Pelodiscus sinensis: one gene and its partners. The protein of the gene in region 1 purifies or fractionates together with the protein of each later gene. This does not show direct contact. Links are inferred from orthologs where the notes say so. Each region holds a gene or a part of one and is shown in the gene's direction. Other genes may lie near its edges. The genes, in order: PNN, CLK2 and NCBP3.

Region 1 (3,744 bases):
CATCATGACCCAATGCTGGATGTAGTAAAATAGAGCGAAATTAGCGAATACGAGGAACAGTCACCTCCATTCCATAGGAATTTTAAAGCCAGAACAGAGAGACTTGGCTACTCGGCTCATTGCGAGCGATAAAAACCTGGGCAGCGAGCTGGACTTCAGCTTGGAGCTCTCCGCACGATCGGCAGAACTAGAAGAGACACAGAATTGCCCCGAGGACCTGGCCCTACAATCATGCGGAGGACGAAGGGTCGCGGCAGCGCGGGCGCACCCCGGAGCGGGGCAGGCTGCGGGCGGCAGGGCACTAAGCTCGGTTCTTTCCCACTGCAGCGAAGGGGAATGCGCAGCAGGGGAGACACCGCGCTGCAATGGGAAAGGCAGAATAACAGCGCCAAGCAGGCAGCTCATCTTGCCCCGCAAAACGAGCAGCCAGGGCGGCTTCCCCTCAGGAGAGGCGATCCCGGGCCGGCTACATGAGTAGAAGGGGGAAAAAAAGAAGACACCAGCACGTGAGCTGATTGGCTAAACGCCAGGCCTTGCGCGGAATCGCTCTTTTCTTGTTCCCAAACAACATGCTTTTGCATTGGTTGAGTTGTAAGAAAGTAAGAGCTGATTGGCTACTCCCCGCTTCTGTTAGTTATGCCTCATGGCCTCTGAAGGGCCTCGGCGTGGGGTGGGGCGGGAAAGTTGAGAGAGTTCGGAGTGGGTGGAGATGGACAGTATTACTCTGCTTCTGATTGGTTGATAGGAAGAAAGGAAACGGTGCTGGTTGGCTGGGATCTATGTCATTTTGTTTGTCCCTTCGGTGATTCGCAGATATGGCAAGCAGGGAAGACTGGTGATGGGGCTGGCGATTTGTCACTCCGACATGGGCTCTCTAATTGGCAGATGCGTCGCACGCGGCTAGGCTGTAGGCGTCGTCGCTTCTGGTCGAGACATGGTGATTGGCGCACCTGGACGGTCGGCGATTTCCTATTGGTGTCACTCTGGTTCCGAGCATTGTGACTGGCGGGTTGTAGGGCGGATCGAGTAGTTTGTGGGCGGGGCATCTCGCTCCGTTACCCAGCGGTGCTTTGCGCTAGGCCCTTGGCTAGGCCGCGCTGCTGGCGGGATGGCGGTGGCTGTGCGCGCGCTGCAGGAGCAGCTGGAAAAGGCCAAGGAGAGCCTCAAGCACGTGGATGAGAATATCCGCAAGCTCACGGGCCGGGACCCCAACGATGTGAGGTGAGGCGAGGCGAGGCCGGGGCTGGGGCTGGGCGCGCGCCCTGCGGACGAGGGCGGGCCGGACCGGACGAGCCTTGCGGGTTCCTTTTCTCTCGGAGCGGAGGAGCAGCGCGTCACTGACTCTGGAAGCAAACGTGCTTCTGAGGGTCCGAGTCCTGTCGACTGGGTGCGGCCTGCGGGGTTTGGGGCGCCGCGGCCCGGCGCTCCTTCTTTTCTGCTCGGGCCCCTAGTTCCGGCGGAGGAGCGCGGGAGACTTCTTTTGCCCGCCCCGCGGCCGGCTGCTCGCCACCGCTTTCCGTGCTGTTCCACTGAGGTTGCTGGGCTGGGCGCTGATCGGAGGCAGCCGCCGCGGCGTGGTTTGCCCGCACAGTCAGTTGGTAACGTGTCTGAGAGGGACACACAGAGTCTCCCTTCTGTTGCCTGTCAGGCGTGATCCAGCCGGGAGGGAGGGGGAACTGAGTTGGGGAGGTCATTGGGTTGCCAACAGTCCCTTATTTTTCTCATCTGCGTACACCAAGATTGGGAATTTAAATATAGTGCTAGAAAACATATCTAGCAATCCCTTCTCTGTGCACTTGCCAAGGGTATGTGCTGCTTTTCCCCAGCAAGGTTTTTACAAGCAAAGTTTATTCTCTTGACATGTGAGGTTTTCCCTCTGTTAGTCAATGTCTGGTATGTGAGACCATGCAGGTCTCCAGAGAGAGCATATTTGCTTACTCTGCCCGCATTCTAACACTTAGTACATTTCTTCCAGGCCCGCTCAAGGTAGATTATTGACCATCACAGGCCCTGGTGGAGGTAGAGGGCGTGGTAGCATATTGCTGAGGTAAGAAACTGTTTATTTTGTGGTTCTCAGCCATCGCCAAATTATTAAATGTTACTTTTCCATCAGGTTTTGTAGGGTCAGTATTACAGGGTTATTGTGTACTTCATGCCACTAATATAGGCAATGGAGAATGCTATATAACTTGACTGTTACTAAAATATAATTATTATGATGATTGTTTTCAGTGAGGTAGGGAAGCATTACCCACATAGACAGGAAGTTTAACTTACCCAGGATCACATTTGAGTCAACGGCAGACCAGCATTGGAAACTCTGCAGTTCCAGTGTCCAGGTCTCTCTGACAGCTACTTATTTGTTTTACTTCATGTATTAAGTCTTCTGTTTTTTAGGCGTGGATTCTCGGATAGCGGAGGACCCCCAGCCAAACAGAGGGATCTTGAAGGGGCAACCAGTAGGTAAGTATAAAGGTGAACAAAAACTTTACTCGAGTGAAAGGTCATCATGTTTTAACACATTTAAATTGTCAGAACTGGTAACTGTTAGTCTGGTGGCTTTATAACTACTTTCTTAAAGATTACTAATTCCAAAGCTAAAGCTTTTGTCACTGTTTTTGGATGATCCCTCCTGCATCAGTAAGGATATAGCTCCCTATCCATGTTTTAACATGTTCATATCAGTTCTGATAAAATCTTGTCTCTGTCTCCTCCTCGCTATAAAATGTAATAATTCTGAAGAAATGCAATCAGATGTAGAATTTGAGTGGTAACTTACCGTTCAATAGTTCTGAAGTAATATCTGAGTATAAATCATTCCCTTCGCTCAATGAGGAGTTGATGCCGAAATCTAAAACACCTGATTGTTAATATCAACTGCTGATTATTGGGGGGTGTCAATGGATAGCTGGATTGCCTATAGTTTAAATGGCTATTAGGAATGTCAATGTGTAGATGACTACACGATTAACCAATAAGCCTGCACACATTGTCCCCCCTTGCTGCCTCTGTATCAGAGGCAGTGGGCTGGGGAACGGGAACCAATGACCTGCACTTCTGTGCTGTTGCCTCTGATAGAGAGCCAACGGTGTGGAGGGGTTGGGGTCAGGCAGGAGTCAATATGGGTGAGGAGTCAGCTCTGTGGACCCGTCTGCTTATCTTTCCTGATGCATCTTACAGAGCCAGTGAGTGGAGGCAGAGGCAGGAGCTAGTCTTCAAAAGCCAGCTCCCCCTGAGCACTGGCTCTGTGGACCCTCCTGGCTGCCCCGCTTGCTGCCTCTGTCAGAGGCAGAGCAGCAGGAGAACCTGCTGCTGCTGCAGCAGCAGCCACCCCTTTCTGCAGTGAGCCCAGGCTCCTTGTGCACAGGGTTCCCCTTGCAGACTAGCTCTTACCTGCCACCCCATGCTGTTACCTCTGATAGGGGCTGGTACAGCCAGGTAGGTAGCCCAGCTCAGTCCTGGCTCACCTGTGTCTACGATACCCACTGTAGCTCTTCAGTTTAAATGTAGTAGGGGCTGGACTACCTGCATGCCCAGCTCCTACGAAATTTAACTGCAGAGCCACAGCGGGAGTAGCTCCTGGACCCGACATGAGCTGGGACTCAGCACCTTCCCTTATCAACTAATCATGAAGTCGATAAAAATTGTCTACTACACGATTAGCCAATTACTTGCCTCTTAACAGCCTTCCAGTGAACCATTTGGCCACTGGAACTACACCAGTAGTGCAGCTCAAAAGTGTGA
Region 2 (3,744 bases), on another chromosome or scaffold:
TAGGGAGCTGTAAGGACACAGGAATGGGAATGGCTACCAGGTGCAGAAGTGGGAGGGGGCTAGAGGGCTGTAGGAGATGGAGGGATGGGAGATGTGTGGGGGCTGCAGGGATGTGGGGGAGCGTAGAGGGAGGGACACGGGGGGAGCTGAGGGGCTGTAGAGACACGAGGGGAGCGGGGGGCTGTAGGAGATGGAGGGATGGGAGACACGTGGGGGGGGGCTGCAGGGACGCGGAGGGAGGGGGACACGAGGGGAGCCTGGGGGGGCTGTAGGAGATGGAGGGATGGGAGACACGTGGGGGGGCTGCAGGGACGCGGAGGGAGCCGGGGGGGGCTGTAGGAGATGGAGGGATGGGAGACACGTGGGGGGGCTGCAGGGACACGGAGGGAGCCGGGGGGGGCTGTAGGAGATGGAGGGATGGGAGACACGTGGGGGGGCTGCAGGGGCGCGGAGGGAGGGGGACACGAGGGGAGCCGGGGGGGGCTGTAGGAGATGGAGGGATGGAGACACGTGGGGGGGGGGACACGAGGGGAGCTGGGGGGGGCTGTAGGAGATGGAGGGATGGGAGACACGTGGGGGGGCTGCAGGGACGCGGAGGGAGGGGGACACGAGGGGAGCCGGGGGGGGCTGTAGGAGATGGAGGGATGGAGACACGTGGGGGGGGGGACACGAGGGGAGCCGGGGGGGCTGTAGGAGATGGAGGGATGGAGACACGTGGGGGGGGGGACACGAGGGGAGCTGGGGGGGGCTGTAGGAGATGGAGGGATGGAGACACGTGGGGGGGGACACGAGGGGAGCTGGGGGGGGCTGTAGGAGATGGAGGGATGGGAGACACGTGGGGGGGCTGCAGGGACGCGGAGGGAGGGGGACACGAGGGGAGCCGGGGGGGGCTGTAGGAGATGGAGGGATGGAGACACGTGGGGGGGGGACACGAGGGGAGCCGGGGGGGCTGTAGGAGATGGAGGGATGGGAGACACGTGGGGGGGGGGACACGAGGGGAGCCGGGGGGGCTGTAGGAGATGGAGGGATGGAGACACGTGGGGGGGGACACGAGGGGAGCCGGGGGGGCTGTAGGAGATGGAGGGATGGAGACACGTGGGGGGGGACACGAGGGGAGCCGGGGGGGCTGTAGGAGATGGAGGGATGGAGACACGTGGGGGGGGACACGAGGGGAGCCGGGGGGGCTGTAGGAGATGGAGGGATGGAGACACGTGGGGAGCGGGAGGGCTGGGTTGGGGGGCTATAGGTCATGGCGGGGGGGCGGGGCTGGGAACACGTGGGGGGCGGGGCCCGGCGCTGCCGCTGGGGAGCGACAGGCGCGGCCCCGCTTCCGGAAGGGAGCTCAATCACGTGTCCCGTGGGGCGGAGCCGCCTGTGACGTGATGCGGTTGCGTCACTGAGGCCGCGCGGCAGAGGGGGCGGGGCTTGGTGGCTATCGCTGTGCGCGCGCGTCCCCGCCGCGGCGGAGTCGGGAGCGCGCGCGCGGGGCCTGGTCGCTAGGCCCCGGACCCGGACCCGGAGGGAGCGGAGCCCGAGGAGCCGCAGCGGGGCCCGGATCCCCGGGGGCCCACGGCCGCCAACACGGACTTCCTGTGGGACAAGCGCACCGGGCTGGCTGCGCGGAGGGTGCGGGCCGGGCCTGGGCTCGCGGGGGGCAGGCAGTGGGGGAGGGGCTGGAAACCTGGGGAGGGGGGGTCGTGCATTGGGGAGGGGCCTGGAAACCTGGGGCGGGGGGGTCGTGCATTGGGGAGGGGCCTGGAAACCTGGGGTAGGGGGGGTCGTGCATTGGGGGAGGGGCTGGAAACCTGGGGCGGGGGGGTCGTGCATTGGGGAGGGGCCTGGAAACCTGGGGCGGGGGGGTCGTGCAGTGGGGGAGGGGCTGGAAACCTGGGGCGGGGGGGTCGTGCATTGGGGAGGGGCCTGGAAACCTGGGGCGGGGGGGTCGTGCATTGGGGGAGGGGCTGGAAACCTGGGGCGGGGGGGTCGTGCATTGGGGGAGGGGCCTGGAAACCTGGGGCGGGGGGGTCGTGCAGTGGGGGAGGGGCCTGGAAACCTGGGGTGGGGGGGTCGTGCAGTGGGGGAGGGGCCTGGAAACCTGGGGTGGGGGGGGTCGTGCAGTGGCTGGGCCTGGAAACCTGGGGTGGGGGGGGTCGTGCAGTGGCTGGGCCTGGAAACCTGGGGTGGGGGGGGTCGTGCAGTGGCTGGGCCTGGAAACCTGGGGTGGGGGGGGTCGTGCAGTGGCTGGGCCTGGAAACCTGGGGTGGGGGGGGTCGTGCAGCCTGGAGTTGGTTGGGGGGGTCAGGCAGTGGGGGATAGGGCGGGATGGGCTCCAGGCAGTGGGGAGGGACCAGGCAGCCTGGGGTGTGGGAGGGGGTGGGGCAGTGGGGGGGTAGGGCGGGGTGGGCTGGGCAGCCTCAGGGGGCCTTGGCGGTGGGGGGCACGGTGGCTGCCTCTAGCAGTGGTTGCTTTGGTGTCTGCTGTCCCCAGCCAGGAGCAGGCGCCTGTGCAGGGGGCTCGCTGGTGGGGAGCAGGTGCTGGGTCCCCACGTCAGCATCCTGACTGCCAGGGCTGAAAACACGGCGTTCCGATGCTGGTCTGCGTGCACTCCCACACACACACCCAGCAGGTTTATCTCCATGCTGGCTGCTCAGTGTTCCTAGGCTCGGGGTCACTCTGCAGCCTGAGCCAGGGCCAAGAGCTTCCAGGACCGGGGGTGCTGAGGATAGCTCAGTACTGCCTGGGAGCAGGCCTCAGGGCTGGGATCTGAGCAGAGGTCTGACAGCCGGGATTGTGGGGCTGTAGTTCTAGCCTCTCACTTGTTTTGTGCCCTTGGCAATCACCTTCCTCTTGCCGTGCCTCAGTTTCTCTGTCTGTAGATGGGCATTGTGACATTCCCTGTCTGCTGGAGTGTCGGGATTAATTCAGTGGTGTTTAGGAAGCCCAGTACGAATGCTCAGGGTGGCGGTGCTGATTGCTGGCAACAAGGGTCCCTCCAGCGATAGCTGCCGTTTCCATTTTAGTCTCTTTGCTGGCTTTTATAACTGGACTGAGTCAGACTGAGACGTGCTGGCTCAGAATCGGCAGTGGTCCCTGCGAGAAGCACCTTGCTCAGAGGCACCCTCTTTATAGCTTCTCCTGGCTGTTGCCAGCTTCCTGAGCGGTACCGCTGCTCCACAGACACCATGCTCTGGGTTACGAGGGCGGAGTAGTGCGACTGTCCTGCTTTCCTGGCATCTGAAAAGCTGCCAGCACGAAGCTCAGAAATGTGGATTTCTCATTAAAGACCAGAAATGTCTCTTTGGTCCACGGAATAGGTGTGGCAGCCTTTAATGTTCTCCTGGCTTCAGAGCCTGAAGAGTGTGTTTGCTGTCCAAGTTACCCAGCAGGGAGGGTTGTGTTGCCTAGGGAGGCCTAGGTTTGCCCCCCCGGCCGTAAGTCGCTCATAGGGAGGAGACGCCACATCTTTGATCAGACCATTTTCTGTCTCTGTGCACCTGCTTTCAGATGAAGTTGCAAGTACAAGAAATGAGCCAGGTGCACTAGTGCATCTTGGGATGAATCAGTCACGTGAGGGTGAGGGGAGCTCTGATTTCACATTCTTCCCTGGAGACCACATTGCTGGTGAATAATGCAGAGCCACAGGTATCTAGAGGCACTAGCACGAGGGTGGGAGCCAGGGTGCCGGGCTGCCCTCGTGGCTCTGGGAAGGAGTGCTGTCTGGCTAGAGCAGAGGGGGCTGAGAAT
Region 3 (3,744 bases), on another chromosome or scaffold:
CTAGATTGCATCCCTTTTTCGTAAAAGGGATGCAAATTCGACATATCGCAATTACTAATGAAGCGGGGATTTAAATCTCCCCTGCTTCATTAGCATAAAAATGGCTGCCGCTTTTTTTCGGCACGGAGCTTTGCCGGAAAAAAGCGCCAGTCTAGACGCAGGTCTTTCGGAAAATAAAGCCTTTTCCGAAAGATCCCTTATCCCTCTTAAAATAAGGGATAAAGGATCTTTCGGAAAAGGCTTTATTTTCCGAAAGATCTGCGTCTAGACTGGTGCTTTTTTCCAGCAAAGTTCCGTGCCGAAGAAAAGGGGCAGCCATTTTTATGCTAATGAAGCAGGTGAGATTTAAATCCCCGCTTCATTAGCAATTGCGATACATCTAATTTGCATCCCTTTTACGGAAAAGGGATGCAATCTAGACGTAGCCGGAGTGTATCTGGATCAGTATCTACCAACTCACATATTAATGTGTTATATAGTACAGTGTTTCTCAGCCAGTGGTTGAGAGAACTCTGGAGGGTACATCAACACAACTAAAATTGGAGAAAACTGAATTTTTGTTTTAAGTTTTACAGCGTTTTATTATTTTTGTACTTTTTACACGCCAAAATTTCATCACCCACCTGGCTACTATTAAGTTGTTTAAACAAATGTGTTGCAAAATGGTAGAAAAAAATGTGTGTGTCTGAAAACTATAGGTACTGGGGGTACTTAAAATTTATTTATTTATGTTTTTGGAAAAGGGGTACTTTATAAAAAAAAAAAGGTTGAGAAACACCGATACAGTGTACAACGTGAGTTGGTAGATACTGATACAGATACACTCCCTCTCAAGAGTGCCGCCTTTTGGAAAGTTGGAATATGGTAACCCTATCTCTCGTGAAATGTGCACAATGCTGCCATGACACAATGTTGTGATGCCCTTGTGAGCTGCACTGTATTGTGCTCCCCCTCCCCCCAGGGCTGCAGGTGACCTGCCCGGAGGAATTGTGGGGCGGGAGGGCTGCTCAGGCTCAAGGCTGTAGGATTTTCGACTGTAGGCAGAACCAGACTCCACACAGGCAACTGGCCGCTCTAGCCTCTCCTCTGTACTCTATGCCACTGGAGGACCGAGCTGGTCGCGCTCCCTCCCTGTCTCTATGGCATGAAGAGCGCTCTTGCCGCCGTCTCTATGGTCGTGGCGGCGGCGGCGCGCTGTCCGCCAGCCCGCGTCTCTGTGGTAACGCAGGCCGGCTGGGAGGCGCGGCGCTCCGTCCATCCGGCGGGCCCCTCTCTCTGGTCGCGGCCTGAGGGCGTGTGGGCCGGCTTGGCGGAGCGATGGCGGCCGTGCGGGGCCTGCGGATCTCGGTGAAGGCGGAGGCGGAGGCGGAGCAGCCCCGCGGCCCCGAGCCCGAGCCCATGGAGGTGGAGGAGGGCGAGCTGGAGACCGTCCCCGTGCGGCGCTCGCTGCGGGAGCTCGTCCCGGTGCGGGGACAATGGGGGAGGGGGCCGGGCGCGGGAAGCGGGCGGGGGGGGGGGGTCGGTGCGAGAGGCGGGGCAGGCAGCCCGGGACCGAGGTACTAAAGGGGAAGCCACAGCGACCCCTCAGTCTGAGGCTGAGCGGGGGGGGGGGAGCCCCGGGTTTTCTTCCAGGGGGGACGCTGAGTCTCAGCGCTAAGGGAAACGGTCACTGGGGCGGGGGGGTGACACTGGGTTATCGCCTGGCAGAGACTGGACCCGCTTTGCTGCGGGCTTGTGAACTCCCCAGCGCTAACTGATGACAGCGGAAACCCTGTTTTATTCCCCCCCCCCCCCCCTTCGCCCTGCACGTCGCTCTTGTGACATTAATCGGGCGATTTCACGAAACAAAGGCAGGGCTATTTGGGGAAATGGGACTAGACTCAAAGGTGCGAAGAGGCTTACAAGTGACTTTCTGTTTAATACAAAAGTGCAGATGAATGGTCTCTTGTTCTAAAGGGGACTTGATAAGAGCCTGGTACATTGTCATTTTTAGAGTCTGGTATCTTAAAATAATTTGGTGATAAAAGATTTTTTTCAATTGGAAGACATGGAAGTTAGGCTCATTCTGCATTGGCACAGTATAGACTTTCTGTCTGGGGTGTGAAAAAACACACCTCTCTCACAAGTGTAGCAAGTCTGCAGTGCTGGGGGTCAATGAAGAAACTCTTCCATTGACTTTCCTTACTTTTCTCGTCCACATTAGAGTAGAGAAGTCGATGGCAGACTGCAGTCTATTTGACAGGTCTAAACTGTACACACTAAATCAATGGCTTGTGGATTGATTTCAGGGGGTCAGTATTATAGACAAAGGCTTAGTCAGTGTTGTACACATCTTGGTCAAGAAGATAATGGAGCTTAGATCTTGTCTATACTGTTACTTTACTGCACTTTAACTTTCTTAGGCAGGGATGTGAAAAAACACCCCCAAGCGCAGCCATTAACAGCGCTGTAAAGTGCCATTATAAACAGACTCCCAGTGCAGGGAGCCATGCTCTCCACATTCTGTTAACCACCTCTATGAGGGGAATAGCTTACTTACAGTGGTAGGAGAGCTCTCCCATTGATGGTGCTGTAACCCCATTGCCACAGCTTCACTTTAAACTTACAAGTGCAGACAAAGCCTCTGAGTTCAGAGAAAGTAGAAAGAAATGGTTTTATTTTAGAACTGTTTGCCAGATGAGATTTTATCAGTCTAACTGATTTATTGTATTTTGCCATCATCACAATTCTGCTTTGTTTCAGGACACTAGTAGAAGGTATGAAAACAAAGCTGGAAGTTTCATCACAGGAATAGATGTCACCTCCAAGGTATTATTGTGTTGTGGGTTTTCTTCAGTACTGTTGTCTGATGGGAAGCACTGTTAGTCTTCAGGAATTTCGGAGAAATGGTCATTTTTAGATTCACTTAGACCAGTGATTAGCTTTTTAATGTGTCTTCTGCAGCAGTTCTCTCTCTCTCTCTCTCTCTCTCTCTCTCTCTCTCTCTCTCTCTCTCTCTCTCTCTCTCTCTCTATATATATATATATATATATATATATATATATATATATATAAAATTCCTGTGGGATTGGTCCTGCCTTAGGCAGGGGGCTGGACTTGATGACCTCCTGAGGTCTCTTCCAGCTCTATGATTCTGTGAGTTTATGACAAACTGATGTCATCACATCACAGCTTCCACAGGGTGAGTAGGCACACTCCACCCCTTCCACTCTGGGCCCCATCTCTGGTGTCAAGCTCCACCCACCGCCAGCCCAGCTCTCTCCAGTGGCCACATGGAGAGTTGGCCTGGCGTGCTGCAGCCTGGCCTTTCCTGGACTCCAGGGACTGGTGTGGGCCTGACCTGGCACGCCATGGCCTGGCCTTCACCTGGGATCAAGAGCAGGTCTGGGACTGGGCTGTCACACTGCAGCCCAGCCTTTGCAGAGGGCACTACGGCCCAGCCTTCCCTGGGGGCTGAGGGTATGGCTAAGTCTAGCCTGGTGCGCCACTGGCCAGCCTTTGCCAGGGGCCATGGGCAGGTCTGGGCCTGGCGCAGCTGGCACAACCGAGGGTGGGGGAGAGAAAGGGCCCGAGGTTGGCATGGCAGTGGGGAACAGAGGAGGGGCCCAGCCCGGCATGGCTGCACCCCAGCCCTCCCCAGTAGCTGGGGAAAAAGCCAGGATTGCCTACTCGCTGCAAGAGGGAGGTTGGCTAGTGTAGCTAGCAGTGGATGCAGCCCCCTAGTGTTATTAAAGCACTGTGATT

Evidence for each region.
Region 2: the proteins of PNN (region 1) and CLK2 purify together in Homo sapiens (affinity purification with mass spectrometry; 3 studies listed by BioGRID and IntAct, counting the BioPlex papers as one, with this or other methods). This does not show direct contact. The link is inferred for Pelodiscus sinensis from reciprocal best matches to the Homo sapiens genes PNN and CLK2.
Region 3: the proteins of PNN (region 1) and NCBP3 purify together in Homo sapiens (co-immunoprecipitation; 3 studies listed by BioGRID and IntAct, counting the BioPlex papers as one, with this or other methods). This does not show direct contact. The link is inferred for Pelodiscus sinensis from reciprocal best matches to the Homo sapiens genes PNN and NCBP3.

What each region holds. Positions count from the first base shown.
Region 1 is NC_134714.1:45,293,414-45,297,157, reverse strand, and holds the start of PNN (pinin), read left to right. Parts: upstream 1-945; 5' UTR 946-1,108; coding exon 1,109-1,221; intron 1,222-1,975; coding exon 1,976-2,047; intron 2,048-2,397; coding exon 2,398-2,463; intron 2,464-3,744. UniProt on the Homo sapiens protein: Transcriptional activator binding to the E-box 1 core sequence of the E-cadherin promoter gene; the core-binding sequence is 5'CAGGTG-3'. Capable of reversing CTBP1-mediated transcription repression.
Region 2 is NC_134734.1:22,345,965-22,349,708, forward strand, and holds the start of CLK2 (dual specificity protein kinase CLK2), read left to right. Parts: upstream 1-1,435; 5' UTR 1,436-1,626; intron 1,627-2,397; exon of another isoform or gene 2,398-3,744. UniProt on the Homo sapiens protein: Dual specificity kinase acting on both serine/threonine and tyrosine-containing substrates. Phosphorylates serine- and arginine-rich (SR) proteins of the spliceosomal complex.
Region 3 is NC_134731.1:14,841,452-14,845,195, forward strand, and holds the start of NCBP3 (nuclear cap-binding protein subunit 3), read left to right. Parts: upstream 1-1,185; 5' UTR 1,186-1,317; coding exon 1,318-1,464; intron 1,465-2,742; coding exon 2,743-2,808; intron 2,809-3,744. UniProt on the Homo sapiens protein: Associates with NCBP1/CBP80 to form an alternative cap-binding complex (CBC) which plays a key role in mRNA export. NCBP3 serves as adapter protein linking the capped RNAs (m7GpppG-capped RNA) to NCBP1/CBP80.